2 linked regions of the Arabidopsis thaliana genome follow. The protein of the gene in region 2 interacts with the protein of the main gene of each other region in a pairwise test. Each region holds a gene or a part of one and is shown on either strand. Other genes may lie near its edges.

The links.
Region 1: the proteins of CYCA2;4 (region 2) and ICK1 interact in a protein complementation assay, tested with the Arabidopsis thaliana proteins (one study listed by BioGRID).

The regions. Positions count from the first base shown.
Region 1 is NC_003071.7:9,975,997-9,980,208, forward strand, and holds ICK1 (Cyclin-dependent kinase inhibitor family protein), read right to left. Parts: upstream 2,095-4,212; 5' UTR 1,926-2,094; coding exon 1,728-1,925; intron 1,635-1,727; coding exon 1,591-1,634; intron 1,473-1,590; coding exon 1,206-1,472; intron 1,091-1,205; coding exon 1,024-1,090; 3' UTR 594-1,023; downstream 1-593. Other genes in the region: AT2G23440 (uncharacterized protein), read left to right, coding at 3,486-3,734. UniProt on the Arabidopsis thaliana protein: Binds and inhibits CYCD2-1/CDKA-1 kinase complex activity. Regulates cell division which is crucial for plant growth, development and morphogenesis. Functions in turning cells from a mitotic to an endoreplicating cell cycle mode.
Region 2 is NC_003070.9:30,211,619-30,217,731, reverse strand, and holds CYCA2;4 (Cyclin A2;4), read right to left. Parts: upstream 4,028-6,113; 5' UTR 3,896-4,027; intron 3,109-3,895; 5' UTR 3,039-3,108; coding exon 2,763-3,038; intron 2,667-2,762; coding exon 2,438-2,666; intron 2,349-2,437; coding exon 2,227-2,348; intron 2,148-2,226; coding exon 2,055-2,147; intron 1,976-2,054; coding exon 1,842-1,975; intron 1,771-1,841; coding exon 1,618-1,770; intron 1,531-1,617; coding exon 1,497-1,530; intron 1,404-1,496; coding exon 1,254-1,403; intron 1,170-1,253; coding exon 1,035-1,169; intron 931-1,034; coding exon 871-930; 3' UTR 630-870; downstream 1-629. Other genes in the region: AT1G80380 (P-loop containing nucleoside triphosphate hydrolases superfamily protein), read right to left, coding at 157-400.

The sequences.
Region 1 (4,212 bases), on a different chromosome or scaffold from region 2:
ATCACGAAAATAAAACAGCCCTCGATGAAAGAATTGTTTTTGTTTATTTGAGTCCCTCATTTAACCTGTTTGTGATCTGAATTAAGCTTACATATACAAAATGGTCCATGATCATTTGTTTTGAAGATTTTCTGAAATGGTCCATGAAAGAGTTTTGTTTCCAAGTCTTCGGATAATTTGTCTAGTTACAAAATGGTCCTGCATCATTTGGAATAATGTATTTATGGCATTATCTCAAAATTCTCTAACCATTGGGCCAGTACAGTATGCCCTTTACAGATCTAAAGTTTTATTATATGCTAGTATTATTATAATTAAAATTTTGAAAAGTTTCAAACCAAGTTTCGTGTGATAGAATGTTTGTGATTTGTTATTAATCAATAAACTTTAAGAATAACAGAATCATCTTGAAATTCTGATTGGTCGAGCTCAATCATATTCGGTGCTGAATATGAAACAAAAAAATTAGTTGGTGTGGTTAGCTGACATGGTTGGTACGATTTTGTTCAACAAAAAACTGCACTGAAATTGTCGATTAGTTAATTTAAGTAGTAGAACAATAATAACTAATTTCATAGTACTTTTTAATCCATATCAAACGTTGTAAGAAATAAAATTCTAAAATAATTTTAAGCGTTTAGGGCGGTAAGATAATCTACCAAAATGCATTTGATGTTTTTGGTTGAATATTATTAAAACGGAGAAGACAAAAAAATGAGTGTGGTTGTACCTGTGTGGGGATAGAATTTTATCAGTCACCAAAAACATAAAAATGTACTAAAGAATATGCTAAAAGATACACAAGATTCGAAGAAGAGGTAAAAGTAGAGCTAAAAGACACGACTTTTCTGGGCTCTAAAATCTGTTAAAAAGCTTTCTTCTTTTTCTGTGCAATTTCGTACTTCTAAAAACATTCCTCCTACAAATCTTATATTTCCAAATCAACAAAATAAAATTAACTTATTCCCTGAAATATTAAAATCTAAAAAGTTAAAAAAAAAACCATAAACTTCTTCTTCTTCTTCACTCTAACTTTACCCATTCGTAACGTCCTTCTAATGGCTTCTCCTTCTCGAAATCGAAATTGTACCTAATTAAAAAAAAATAAACTCACTCTTAATTTTACCTCAAAATCAATTTTAAATTATGAATAAAAAATATATTATCTATAAAAATCAAACTCACAAAATAAAATAAAAACTTACTTCTTCTTGAATTTTTCTTTGAGTTGTTTCTCAGCTTCCACAAAAAAATCTTCAATTTCCGATTCCGTTGGCATCTCCGTCATCAATTTCGCCTTCTCCTCCTCCTCCGCCGTCACCGTCTCCTCCATCGTTTTCCTCCCGCTACAACAACAATCTAACGATTCTTTAACCGCCGATTCAAATTCCGATGAATAATTCTCCATGGATTTACTTAATTCTTCTTTCTCCTCCTCTCTCAGATTTTCAAAAAGCTTCCTCTTCGTACCCCTAAAATAACTCACAAGCAAGATTCTAAATTTATTGAAGAGAGAGTCAAATAAATAACCGGGAAAATAATAAAACCTTCAAAATTCAAATCATTTTCAGTTTTTTTTTTAACACTCACCGTCGATACGTCGACGTTTCAGTGTCACCATCTTTATCTTCCTCCTACAAAAATTTCAAAATTTCAAAAAAAAATACATTAACATTAAATGATACATATACAGTTACAAGAATCTAGAATCAACAACATTAAATAACCTCCAGATGTATTAATTCTTTCTTCTTATATTCATTGCTTCCACTACAAGACGACGAAACTCCATTATCACCGACGACGGAGACAGAGCTTGATTTTTCCGATCTAACATAAACAATTCTCCGGCTCCGTAGCTGCATATACGTTGACGAAACTCCAGCTTCTACAATTCCTTTAGCTTTTCTATATTTTCTCACCATCTTCGATTTAGGTTACGTGTGCGTGAAGTCACAATCTCTGTGAGAGAGAGAGATATGATTGAGAGGATGAGGAAGAAGAAGAAAGAAAGATGATGAATTTGGTTTTGAACGGTCAGGATTGAGTTTTGTGCTGTGTGTGATAGAGAAATGGCGTGTTTTAGTGGTCCCGTTACAGTGACGGGGAATCTTTAACGGGGAAACTGGAGGCGCCGTTATTTGGATGTTATGGAGTTACTTATGCCGATGGTTTGTTTTATTGACACGTGTCGGTTATAAACGGTGACTTAACGGAACGGGAGGCGTAATAATTGTGGTGTAACTAACTATTTTAAAAACCCTCTCATCTATTGGTAATTCACAGATTTGCCATTACGCGAAACCGTTTAAAATGTTTTAAATTATAATTGACAAGCTTTTTGTATAGTTGGGATGAATTTTATAGTTTAGGTAAAATTAGAAAGTTCATATTACTTTAAAATGAATTGGATAGAGACTATATATAGATTATGTGTATAGTATAGGTGGATTGTTACGGATAGCCTAAAAACTACGTACCTGTGAGTAAAATAAGGTAAAAGTAAAACTGACACTAGAAATTATATTTTTGTTATCCCTGCGTATTTGCTTAGCCTGATGTCAAGTTGTCAACAGCACGTGTCGATCGTGATATATTGGGCTTAATAAGTCATAATATAGTAAAGGTTTCTAAGAACTAAACTTGGCCTCCATCACTTCCCATGGGCCTTGTCAGCCTTTCTATGTTTTGTTTTTGTCTCAAAGCATGAACAAAATGGAGTGGCGAGTGCATTCAAATTACCATGTCTTGCTTTAAAAATTAAAAATATTTTTTTTTTCACTGAAAGATAAATATATACTTCATAATTTCCAACCAAACATACAAAAAAATGTGGATCAAGGACAATCATTCTAGATCAACCAGTATTACACTAGGCATTTTTTTCTTCCTCAAAAAGTTGTTTTAACCAAAAAGAAAACCTAGTTGCTACATACGATTAACGGCGATCATTTTTTGTTACGCTCTTGGCAATAAAGTGAGCATCAAGATTAGATCTCCTTAACTCACCAAGCAATTTTCAATCCAAAAAATTCCCTAGTTTCTCAATCAAAAGAAGGGACTGAAATTTACATGAAGGTCATGCAGACGACTTTTGTTTTAATTGAATAACATAAAACTTTTACTCACTTTACAAAAAAGTATGAATCTATAACCCTAGATTTATAAAGATATTAGAAAACTTTTTATAAATCTTAAATTAATAACAAAGAACTTTAATAAACTTTTTAAAAATCTTGATTGAATAACAAACGATTTTACATAATCGTTAAAGTTCTTTTAAAATCATAAACCAATAATACCCCCTAAATATTTAATTTATCTCCTCAAGTGTTGCGCCCATGTTATGTAAAATTTCATCCCTATAAATACATCAGATGGTCCAAGAGGTTTCATGCATCAATACATAATACATTTTCGCCTTCGACTAAATATTATAATTTAGCTTCTTTTTTTTTCTAATTCTCGTCTCGGTTTTTCTAGTAATGGCGACGATTAATGTTTACGTTTTTGCATTTATCTTTCTTTTGACTATTAGTGTTGGTTCAATTGAAGGCCGAAAACTCACCAAATTCACCGTAACGACGTCTGAGGAAATCAGAGCTGGTGGCTCTGTATTGTCGTCGTCACCTCCGACTGAGCCACTTGAGTCGCCGCCGAGCCACGGGGTTGATACCTTCAGACCTACGGAACCTGGTCATAGCCCCGGTATTGGACATTCCGTACATAATTAACGGAGAGGAACAATAGCATCGTCTATGTGATTACATGTTGAAAATATGATTGGCCTGGTGACTTTTTTTTTCTGAATATGTATTTACGTACAGTTTCGTCATATTCAGTTTCTTGCAAGTGTGATTGTAATAATATTTATTTGATTAAATTAAGATTGATGTAATCCATCTTATTTTAAAAGCACATACATTTTTTTATCAGGTTCCAATTTTCTCATATATTTTTCTATCGAGATGTGTCACTCGCTTGAACTAAGAAATTTTTCTATCGAGATATGTCATTCGCTTGAACTGAATCATACGTAACTCGATCTAATCACAAACCGATTTAGGAATAGAACTATAGAAGCAATTTCGATTACTTGTTTATGTCTTCAAAATCTGTACGTAGAACGAATAACTATCTTTGAAATAATTTGGTACAGATATTCCATATCTGCGTTTCAAAATTTGAGCCAGACATTATTTTGCATGGAGA
Region 2 (6,113 bases):
AGGAGAGTAATAAAACAATCTCATGAGGAAATTCTAAAGCAATTTTGCATAAAATTTACGAAATAGCCAAACAATCATCAAAAGAAAAGAAAAGCAAACCTCAAAAATTAGAAGGAAGCGAGGAAAAGAAAAGAGATTATATTTGGAGGCGTTTACCAGCGAAAGAGGAATGGGTTCGAATTGGAGAAAGCTTGGAGGATAAATAAGAAGAGGAAGGGTTAACGACATGGTCGTTAAATTTGGGGGAAGAAGGAGAGAACGAACGTCTTTTGAAATTAAAAGAATTGCAAATTGGATTAGAAGAGTGACACGGAATCGGATAATCTCGGATATAAATCCGATTATTATAATGCTGAAGAGTCGACGATATCAAACTACTCCCAGATATTGCGACCGCCATTCTCGACCCCTTTTCTCTCTTGACTCTCTGACTCTCTCAAGCAGAGCGACACATCAGCAACGAGGAAGAAGAAGACCAACTTGATAATTTTTTATTATTGGTTTTTCGTAAAACGAAAAAGCAATTCTTGCCACATACTATGTGAGTCACAATTTCTCCGTTGGATAATGTGTAATTAATGCTTTGTCTCTCTGTCAACTGTAATAAAAAGATAAAATATTCGAAGCAGACCAGATATTGCCTTGAATAAACCGGGGGAAAAATGTACATTCCACTACAATTAACTCGTGTTACCGACAAGAACAAGTCCGGTTTGAAAGAACCAAACCTGTCTACAACTAAACCGAACTAACACCGAATCCGGTTACTTGGTAATGATGAGAGACCGTGGGAAGACACTGTTTTATTTGACAGACAGATGAATGTGGACCATCAGAAAAATGTTACTACAGATTCGTGTGTCATATCGGTTAGGAGATGAATAGCTTGTCCGGTAGCTCTCCAGAACTGAATACCGCCACGGATTTGAACTGTAAATTGCCAAAAAAAAAAAAAAAAACTGTTAAACCGAAACAGACCAGATTTCTTCATTCGGTTTAAGAAAACCAAACTAAGATTAATAATTTTTTAATACCTTGTCCTGTCTATACTTCATGCGTATAGAGTTTAAGGAACATCCTTTGGTGTTAAGCTGTAAATCTTGCAAGGCGTGGACAGATGCTTTGAGATCGGAGGCTTTGTACGTTGTGTAATGCTCAAGAGTTGGATTCTGTTCATAAAATAAAGTAAACAAGAGTGAGATTCAAGATTCGCTGTGTTTCTTAATGAAGAAGATAGTTGGTCAATTACAGACCCAAGGGTGGCTTGATTGGTTTAATGTCCACTTGGCAAGAAAAACAGCCGAAGCAGCGATGATCGAAGGAAGGAACTTCAAGAAAGGGTAGTCCATTAACGTCAATTCCGTTAGGTAATTCGCCAGAAACTCCATTTCCAGACTTTGATTCTGCAGACAAATTACCAACAAAGTTTCAATCTTTCTGCTACATGTTTTATGAGCAATAGATATATCTGATCTGATAAAAGAAAAGCACATTACCGGGAAAGAAACTTGAGCTGCTCGAAGAAATCTCCTGCAAAAATGAATGAATACTCTGAATCACCAAAGACTAAAAAGCAACAACACATGATAAAGCATTTGCACTGTCTGGTAAGATTACCTGAGGAATGTTTTTGAAGTGGGGGTGTAAATTTGAAAGCTAAAATGCTTGAGTACTTGGCTCTCCATTTCCAGGACCTGATCTCTTGTATAAGTGTTATCCGTGATGAAGCAGAACTCCTCAATGCGTGGCGCATGGATTTCCTCATACTTCCTGCAAGAACTCTTTTAGATGTTGTGTTCAGACCAGAGCATTATTTGATTTTAGGTGGATGAGGAACTTACGAAGCAATGAGCATACAAGTGATGCCAAGCAATTGAAGTCTCTGTCTTTCCACATAGTTTCCATGGAGAAACCAGTCTATGAGATACACTGTGAGGTAAAGAGTGTCAGGTACAAGTGTGTATTCCTCTGAGACCTGAAATTTTGAGTTGTGAGAAGCTACACAAAAAGACTTCATAAGTAAGCAACAAACAAACTGGAAGTAGAGAACTAACCTCTACAAGCCAATCAACAAGAATTCCCCGCATTGTCTCAGTCACATCTCTTTGTGTTTTCTCCATAAAATCAGGAAATGGTCTTCGTTTAAGCTGATAAGTAGACAAGTCGTAAGGATTCAAATGCCTCAAATGCATCATCGTAAGATATCAAAATCCAAGGGATAAATACCTCAGCAACACGCAGGTTGTAGTAGATGTCAGGTGCATAAAGGCTACAGAGTAGAGGATCTTTGTCATCTGAATCAATGTCAACGAATTTCGGGCTACTTGCTCCACCACAACTTCTCTCAACTGTAAACCATTTGCAAGAATAAAGATGCATCAGAAATGTTATACATTGCCCACTCAAGCTTCAGTAAATGACCATTTATAAAATTCACCTGTCCCAAAGGGTCTTGGAGGCGATCTGGAGCTTGGCTTTGCGATAATGCTATAGGATGTTTCGTTTGTGCCTAAGCTTGTATCTGTAAAAACAGACAAGCTTGCTCCTGCTGAATTTGACACAACTTCTACCTTTGCATCTGTAACTTGTGAAGTAGCCGAAGAAGATGCCACCTTGGAAGAAGAAGAACTCTGTCGTCCCTTCTTTATCTGCTTGATATTCTCCACCTAAGTAAAAAGAAGAAGCAACAATTGTCAGCAAAAACATACTTCTTGTCATATAAACTTAGCAATTCTAAAATGCTGCATTGTGTAGTTAACAACCGCAACACTGAAGCAACTTGTGTAAGAATTCTCGCAGGTAACATTAGTGATATCCTTAAGAACAGCTCGCTTCTTAGGTGCATTGGCTTTCTTCTCATCCAAGGCTGTTCTTTTACTCTTTGCTCTAAGAACCCGTCCCTGGTTCTGTGTTGTAGCAGCCACTTCAGAAGATGTTATCAGCTTAGAAGAAGCACGCAGAGCAGAGGCAAGAGCACGAGTTACAGGGCGACCATGGATTGGTATAGAGTTTCCAGAAACAGCATTCTCCTTCCCCATGATTGAAACCCTTTGACACGATCCAACCCTTTTCTAACGTTTGGGACTTAGCACCACATTAACTCTCGATCTGTGAATTTGAAGTCAAGAGAAATCGAAGATCAATGGCATGAAGATTAAACAAAACAGAGAGATATATATTTATCTATGCAGAGTCCAATGCATATAAGATGTTTGGAGAAATTGTTTATTCTAAACGAGGATTGTTTATCTGATCATTCATGACTAGACAAATAATTGCAACACGTACTTGTTGTTTAAGTTCGTCGAATCAAGTTCCAAAGTTTCAAGTCAGATTCAAGTTGAAAGAACAAGTCTTTGTGAATTACAATTTACTTGTTGACAAAAACTTGAAAACTGTAATGCAGAAAACCCTCAACGCTCGAAAGAAAAAGTCTTAGCAATTTTAGCAAAGACGGGAGCGACTTGCGCAGAATTTGGAGATAATTAAATTTGAAGAAAAAATTAGTAAAGTTTCTAAATTTCTTTCATGGGTTTTTATATAAAAATGTTTATCCATAAGAAATAGGAACAAGAAAAGGAACGACTAGATCAAATTTCTTCTGAGGATAACGAAAAGACCCATGATTTAAAGCTGCAAGATCTCCCAAAAAAACCTATCGATCCGTTCGTTAAAAAAAAAAGTAATCAAAGTCACATTTTCTTTAATCCAAGAAAAATCCGAGTGACCCATGAACCAAAAAAGCTTCAAAACCAAGATAAAGTTTCAAGAAACCCTCCAGGAGAACCGCCTCAAAAAAAAGAACAGAGGGTCGGCATAAAAATAATATCATCACATTTCACAAGCAAAATAAAACAGAGAAGATGGAGATAGAGAGACTAAGATAGAAACTTACTACGCTCCAGAAATTTCTTCAAGAAGAAGAAGAAGAAAAAAAGTCTTTTTTTTTTTCTTTATTAATTTGGGGAAATGAGCTCTACGAACAGAAAAGATGGGAGCTTGGGCAGATCGAGAGAGTAAATGGGTTATAGTCAATTCGCTTTTATGCAAAGGGACTGTCTCTGAGAGTGAGCGGGATATAGAATGGTTTAAAGATATAAGTTTTATATTCTTTTCTTTTCTGTATATAAAAATAGAAACTTTATTTTTATTAGAGAAAGAAGTGTTTGTTTATGTGCTTATAACGCAACTCATTGACTGTTTGACCATAAAACAAGGGGATAAAGAAAGAGCTAACACTACAGTTTAGTTTGCTTGGGATTTTTTTTGATAAGTAATTTGTGGTTAATCTTTTCAATTTGGTACGTGATTGAACATAGATTTTTCTTTAGATTTTGGTAACTAATCATTTACCTTATTTTCACCCATTGCTAGTTTGGGTTCTGTGTCATTTCCATTTCTCCATTAACCTGTTGTATGTAATTAATGATGCAGATTTTGTTTTTCTTCTCTCTGTTCGAATGTTTTTTTTATATTTACTTTTTGTATTAAAGTAAAAGAACGATAGAGAGGAGGAATAGTTACGTTTTCCAAGAAATGTGTCATAATTTATTTACATAGATAGTAACAGCGCATTTTTTAAAGACAGTAACAGCGTGGCTATTCATCCAAAGGTAAATAAAAATGATTAAATTACAAAAAACTCTGTTCAAATTTTGAAGATTTGAAGAAAGATTCCACCATTTATTTTTTTAATGGTAAAGTTTTTAACTTTTGAATAGAAAAACTAACTAGTAGTAAAAAAAAAAAAAAAAAAAAGACCAAATGCACGTTTACCCCAGAATCACTCTTCTGATATTTATATTTACGTTTCTATGTGTCTTTTAATATTCCTTAATGCTTATTTGGACTCCACATGCATGTTAAGTAAGAATCCATCCATAAATTCTACACTATCCTTTCAAATTTTTAAACATTTTGTAGAAACTTAAAGAACCCGTTTCTATTTCTATAGGATTTGCTCCGTTTTAAAATCATACTTACGACGCTCCCGTGGTCTTTGTATACTATTGAGTAAAAAGATAACATGCATTATGTGATACTAACACTTTCTTTATTTCGTGTAAAACAAAACTTATGTCTAATTTTCTCATCGGTTACTTTGACCAAATCTACGTGAAATAAAACTTGGAGAGTTTTTTCTGCGATTAAACGTTATATACAACACTCTTTTTAAATAATACTAGGAGTTATGAAAACTGTATTAGATCTCATTGTACTTGACATAATCAGTTTAGAATTAAAAAAAACTTAATTTAAAACAAAAAGAAAATATGATAATAATTACTTTTGATGCTTAGATCCGCAGGATCCACTTAGAAAAAGAAAAGATACTTAGGACATGAACAAATAATTAAGTGGTGGAATCTGCCATTTCAGGTCTTGTTATGTTTAAGACCTTGGTAATCTTGTATGTTATACATTATTTCACATCTTACCTATAGCCGTTTTATCAAAATATAGCAGAAGTTATTTTATTTTTTTAATATTTTTTTGTTTGATATATTTTCTTATTCAGAATTATCTTTGTTTTCAAACTTAATTATTTATTTTTGCTGTTGTTTCGCGTTTGAAGCAATTCAATTACGAGTTTTAACAAAAACAAAAAGAAGAAGTTCGAAAAACTATCAGATTTGAAATGAAAATGACAAATCTTTTAAAGTTAAAGTTGAGTCTATTTTGTTCGGTAGTACGTGAAAGGGCAGTAAAGTCTACTGATTAAGTCAAAACTTTCATATGAAACTTTGATGTTAAGTGATATAATCGAAGAAAGCATCACAAACAAACAAAAGTATCCTTGGGATAATTATTTATATACAACGCACGAGTAATTCAAAAGCTACAGTGAGGAGCTATAACCAATAGTCTCACTTACCACATGGGAAGTTACATAATCAAAGCTCATGGATTTCAAATTTAGGATATATACAGTATGTTCTATTGTATATGTATTGGACTAATGCGTTAAAGCTGTTATAGTGTGAGAAGGACGTAACGAGAGGTCTTCGTGGACCTAATAATAATAACGTTTTACGGTTTTATCCAAAGACCAAAAAGCTACTAGATCTACGATTCAAACCAACACGCATAAAGATGAAAATTAAATTTTAAAA